Linked DNA regions of Xenopus tropicalis. The protein of the gene in region 1 interacts with the protein of each later gene in a pairwise test. Links are inferred from orthologs where the notes say so. Each region holds a gene or a part of one and is shown in the gene's direction. Other genes may lie near its edges.

What was found. The genes of interacting proteins can lie anywhere in the genome.
Region 2: the proteins of fchsd2 (region 1) and abcf3 interact in binary tests that used the Homo sapiens proteins (3 or more experiments, as listed by UniProt). The two-hybrid records come from large-scale screens. The link is inferred for Xenopus tropicalis from reciprocal best matches to the Homo sapiens genes FCHSD2 and ABCF3.

The regions. Positions count from the first base shown.
Region 1 is NC_030678.2:172,222,669-172,226,242, reverse strand, and holds part of fchsd2 (F-BAR and double SH3 domains protein 2), read left to right. Parts: coding exon 1-65; intron 66-1,854; coding exon 1,855-2,016; intron 2,017-3,432; coding exon 3,433-3,567; intron 3,568-3,574. UniProt on the Homo sapiens protein: Adapter protein that plays a role in endocytosis via clathrin-coated pits. Contributes to the internalization of cell surface receptors, such as integrin ITGB1 and transferrin receptor.
Region 2 is NC_030681.2:100,064,522-100,066,935, reverse strand, and holds the end of abcf3 (ATP-binding cassette sub-family F member 3), read left to right. Parts: intron 1-666; coding exon 667-799; intron 800-1,114; coding exon 1,115-1,202; intron 1,203-1,314; coding exon 1,315-1,473; 3' UTR 1,474-1,847; downstream 1,848-2,414.

The DNA.
Region 1 (3,574 bases):
AGCAGAGCCGGATGGAACTGGAACAAAAGATAGAAGAGACTAGAGAGAATATGCGCAAGGCAGAGGTAAGTTGTGCCATCTGTAACACTGGGGTAAATCGGGGGGCCAACAAGCAGTGCAGTTGTGTTGTGCTCCCAGATTTTAGAACTTTGCTTGCGCACAGAGGCAAGATTTGAAGCAAGAACTTGCAGCAAAAGTCACTGGTTGCTGATGAGTATTATGTCCCAGTAAGGGTTAAGGCCTTAGGCAAGAATATGAGGACTCTATCTGTCTCTGGTTTCACGACAAAGGGCAATATTCTTTGTCGCCTGATTCTCTTCCTCAGGTGTGACATTGTTTAGCGTCCCTGTGTCTGGTTGCTGCAGGGGTTAGGTTACCGTATGCCCTTTCAGATCAGAAACTTCAACACTTCATTGGCCTGGTTACTTTCCCATGGCTGGGGGAGGCTGTTTCGTAATGCACCTATGACTTTCTGGTCCGGTATTTCCCATACCTAGAGTGTAAAGTCCATAAATATTGGATGCAGATCTACCATCTGTACCGCATTGTTAAATAAAGGGGAAGTAAGAAAGATAATCTAGGCTCTAAATTGCCCTATTGCTGCTGCTTATACCTCAGATTCTTACTTTCATTATCTAACTCGTGTTTCCTTATCTAACTCGTGTTTCTCCAGTTTCCTTAATAAAGATTCACCCAGATCCATTTGGTTTTGCCCAAATGCTCCACGAGCAATTACAATTACTAGCAACCGCTTTCAGGGGGCATTTACAGCTGAGGGCACTAGCGTATCTATATAGGGGGCAAATCCAATGACCTATTTTGTGTTGCCTTTCTAATAAGGTCTATATTTGGATTTGTAATATAGCTGTGAGAACATTAGCAGCATGGTGGCACGCACATGAGGTTGCAGGAAGATACTGGATACCTAGGGCAGCTAATGATTATTTGTGCTTGATTAGACAGTGAGAATTGCCAAGCAAAAGCTCTACCCTCCTACCCTTTCACTTAACATGTAATTTATCTATCTGGTTATAAGTTACTTATCTGTCTTTGGTAACTGATGCCTTGTTATGCTTCATTATTGCTAAGTCTAATGTCCCACAGGGAGATTAGTCACCCACAATAAATTTCTGCTAACGTGGGCAACTGCTCTCCCCTAAATACTTTTCCACCGGCAGTAATGTGAACTGCCGGTGAGAAGGCATACGCATCACTAAGATGCCCGACGTTTCCTCGCAATTGGCAAAGCAAATGTCTTCCCACCAGGAAGCCAGTGATTTCTAATTCAAAATTCAAAGGAAATGTGTCCATAGAAATGGTTAGCACTGCTTCTGCCTCTGGATCCTAAGTTCCTTTGTGACCTGGAAACCATCTGCAAGGAGTTTATGCTTTTTCCCATTGTCTGTATAGGTTTCATGCCAGTACTTTAGCTTCCTCCCACATACCAAAAGCATACAAGCAAGTTAATTGGATGCAACAAGATTGGCCACGTGAATGTGATAGGGACCTTGGAATGTAAGCTCACTGGGGCAGGGGCTGATGGGAATGTGATAGGGACCTTAGATTGTAAGCTCCACTGGGGCAGGGACTGACGGGAATGTGATAAGGACCTTAGATTGTAAGCTCACTGGGGCAGGGACTGATGGCAATGTTATAGGGACCTTTGAGTGTAAGCTTCACTGGGGCAGGGACTGATGGGAATGTGATAGGGACCTTAGATTGTAAGCTCCACTGGGGCAGGGACTGATAGGAATTTGACAGGGACCTTAGATTGTAAGCTTCACTGGGGCGGGGACTGATGAAATATGCCACTATATAAAAAACAATAACAAATAATGTTCTATTCCTGTACAGATTACAAAGCTAAAAGCTGAAGCCCGACTGGATCTGTTGCGGCAAATCGGTGTGTCGGTGGACACGTGGCTGAAGAGTGCAATGAATCAGGTGATGGAGGAGCTGGAGAATGAGCGCTGGGCAAGCCTCCCAACCCTGATGAATAATGGCTCCTCCCATATGGTATAGTCACATTACCTCTATATATAATATAATATAAAATATATTATATTAAAATGCACCTTATTTACGGTTGCAGCTACAGTCACTGCAAAAAAATGGCAACCTGCAGCTCATGAATGACTTCTTTTTCTATTATTGCCCAGTGGGTTCTGTTCCAGCTGTTGCCAATCTCCTATTCGATTGGGCCACATATGTGCTGTCTCATGTGTGCTGGGTATATCATTTGGGTAGTTACTAATACTAAGATCCTTGTCATTCTGTGATTGCATTAAAATGGAAGTGAATTAGGATTTACAGTACTTACTGTAATTAAATCTCGCCATAAAACCACAGGCAGGAACAACCCAAAGCAATGTATTTCCGAGCTGCTGATTGTAAGTTAAATCTATTACCGGCCTATTGCCCTTTAACATGAGGAATTCTCTATATTACAAGTTAATGAGCCAGTGGGTGTCTCACCATAAATCATGCTCCCAGGTTATGAAACGCTGGCCGGCAGTCTGATAAACTGTCTGGGAGGCACCGGCCGATGAGTGGCACCTCATTTACAGCAAATGTAAATGAAAGGAACACAAGGCTGGGAATGTGTAGTAATTGCAGCGTGAGTCTCCGGTGTCACAAGGGGAGCGTCTCGCTTACTCATTAACTCCGGCTTCTTGTGCTGAAAGGCAGAATTCTCTAAATGCCAGTGCTGAAAACACTGCAGTAAATAAATAAAGTTGTACAGTTACACATCTGTTTAAAGAGACAGCAGGCCTTGTACCACAAAGCTTACAGTCCAAGCAAGATAGACACAAATACTGTAGAAGGGCAATAGGTGCTACCATTCATCGTGTACTATGGATATCTGTGGATTTGTCAGGTTTTACACTTTTTTACACTTCACCTTTAAGTATGTTATAGAATGACCAATTCTAAGCAACTTTTTAGTTGGTCTTCATTATTTATTTTTTATCGTTTTTGAACTATTTGCCTTCTTCTGCAGCTTTCAAATGGGGGTCACTGACCCCGGCAGCCAGAAACGATTGCTCTGTGAGGCTCCAGTTTTCTTGTTATTGTTACTTTTTTTTATAACCTTTTCTATCCAGTCCCTCTGCCATTCATATACCAGCCTTCTCATTCAAACCAGGCCTTGGTTGCTATGGTAATTTGGACCCTAGCAACCAGATAGCTGCTCAATCTCCAAACTGAAAAGCTGCTAAACAAAGTCAAATAACTAAAAAAAAAAAATACAAATAATAAAAAATAAAGTCCAATTACAAATTTTATCAGAATATCACTTGCTACATCACACTAAAAGTTAATTCAAAGGTGAACAACCCCTTTAAGGTGAAGAATAGCCACAGCGTTAGGTGTGTTGTTGGTTTTGATGTTCCCCCGACAGAAGGCCTGATTTCTTTGGTTGTTTGCTGACAGGGAGGCACAGATGTGGATCGGGAGGATGGAGAGGAGTTGGAGGACAGCATGGATGCCTTTGATGACAGCAGCTCCAGTCCTTCTGGCACCCTACGGAACTATCCGCTGACTTGCAAAGTCATCTACTCTTACAAGGTTTGTG
Region 2 (2,414 bases), on another chromosome or scaffold:
CAGCCTTCGGGCGTAAAGTTCTGCAGTCGGTAGTTCAAAGCTAGACTGCAATAAATTCTAGTTCAGTTTCCTCCCTCCCAGTGGGGACGGCTTTGGTATGTCCCCATGGTGCCTGTGTCCCCCAGGACGCAAGAGAAAAGGAGATTTATACTTACCGTTACATCCTTTTCTCTTAGTCCTATAGGGGACACAGGCCACCCTCCCTGGAAACTTAGGGATCATGCATACCTTCTCACTCAGCTGTGTTATAGCTTATAGTTATTAAGTTAAGAGCACTGTTTGCTCGGTCTTGTTACATAACTGAGGTACCTGGGTGGGGTAAGAGGTTATATAGGGGAGAGAAACCAAAATTATACAGTGTCCTGCCTCCTGATGGGAGGGGATTTAACCCCATGGTGCCTGTGTCCCCTATAGGACTAAGAGAAAAGGATGTAACGGTAAGTATAAATCTCCTTTTTCAATACAATGGTATTTTCAGTTGTTTTGGTGCCCCCTCTCCCTGCCTAAAAGGCCCAAACTGCCTCCGTGCCATTACATTAAAGCAAGATGGATTGATTAATTAATTAAGCAGTTGTCTAACATGAATTGTGGTGAAAATATGGATCACTCATGTTGCTTTTTCTGGTCTTCCATACTGCTTTGTTTTAATTACTCTGTGTCTTGTAGGTAAAACTGAGGAGGAATATCGCCACCAGCTGGGAAGTTATGGGATATCTGGCGAATTGGCAGTGAGACCAGTTGCTAGTCTTTCTGGGGGCCAGAAGAGCCGAGTGGCATTTGCACAAATGACCATGCCCTGGTGAGTTCATGTGCTCAATGAACATATTGCGAAATGGAACTTATTAATTATACAAGATTCTGGCTGTTTTCAGTGGAACATTTTGATGGAAAACTCAAAAGGATTTAAAGTTTATCAAACATTCCTGCACTTAATATCCATCTGTGTGTGAGTTGCTGCTCTGCTTTTTAGAGAAGCGTTTGCATAGACATTACTATTGTAGACATGCATAGCAGTTTCTTATTCTGTAGAATAAAATGGAATGCTTGTGTGCATATTCCTCTTCATTAAATTATTTTTCCTTTAAGAGTTCTTCCTCTCATGTTTTTCTTTTAGTCCCAACTTTTATATTTTGGATGAACCAACAAATCATTTGGATATGGAGACCATTGAAGCTTTGGGGAGAGCCTTGAACAAATTCAAGGTATTGTTCTTTTTGCACTTTAGCTTTCTATAGCAGAACTCCTTGTAATAAGCAGCTCCACTTGTCACTGGGCTCTGCCTCGTATCTCCTAATATTTTATTCTCTGTTACAGGGTGGAGTGATCTTGGTATCTCACGATGAACGTTTCATCAGACTCGTGTGCCAAGAACTCTGGGTTTGTGAAAACGGTGGTGTGACACGAATTGAAGGTGGCTTTGATGAGTACAGAAATATCTTACAAGAGCAGTTTCGCCGTGAGGGATTCCTATAGAGTGGACTCGGTGGGATCCTGGCCTTGCTGCTGTCTGCCTACCGAGCCCTATGCTGCGCCATGAGCGTTGCCATGGTAAAATGTTGGGGAGCAGAGGACTGAACGTTAAATGGAGCAAGTTGCTACATTGAACTCAGATACTCCAGCTGTTTGATCTGAGCCATTACTTGTGAGATATAAGGGACTGTATTTATTTTCAGACTTTAAAGAGGAATAACAAAAACAGCTGTTTGTAAGAAGTGATTCTGTTTTATGCAGTAAAGGCTGGGGCTGCTACCTTTGCTAATCACAGTGCTCTGTGTATCTGGTCCCTGCTACTGAAATGAATCTGAATACCAATCACATTTTTCATATAAAAGCTGCCCTTACATTAACAACACATTGCCTTTCTATATAATTATTATATTTTCTGTTTTAAATACATTTCTATTGTTATGCACAGATCTCCAGGTAATGTAAGCTCAGCTATTTCCCTGTCTTTGTTTTCTGCTGTGGCAACTAATGGCTTAACAAATGTTGTCACAATACTCAAATGGCTGCTTTATAATGTGTAAGTCCTGTTAAATTGGCCATAAAATTGAATATTTTATCCATTGAAACCTTCTAAATTTTTTAGCAAACTGTAGGTTACTATTGATTTTTAAAAGATGCCAGTTGTTAGTTAGCAGGATTGGATACACCCAGTACTTCATCATTAGACATTGTAACCAGCCAAATGAATTGTGGAACTATTGCCAAACACAGAGCACACAGCTTCCCTTAAGTTATTGACAGTGTTGAGAGATGTGAAACTAACATGTTGTAAATAAAGAGCGGAATCCCCCTTTCTGTCTTGTATCGAATTCCATCTAACCACCACACCATGTGTTTCCTGCACTAACTTCTCGATCTATATTGTAAGTGGAATATTTTAAATAAAACAGGGTTCCTTAGCTTTTTTC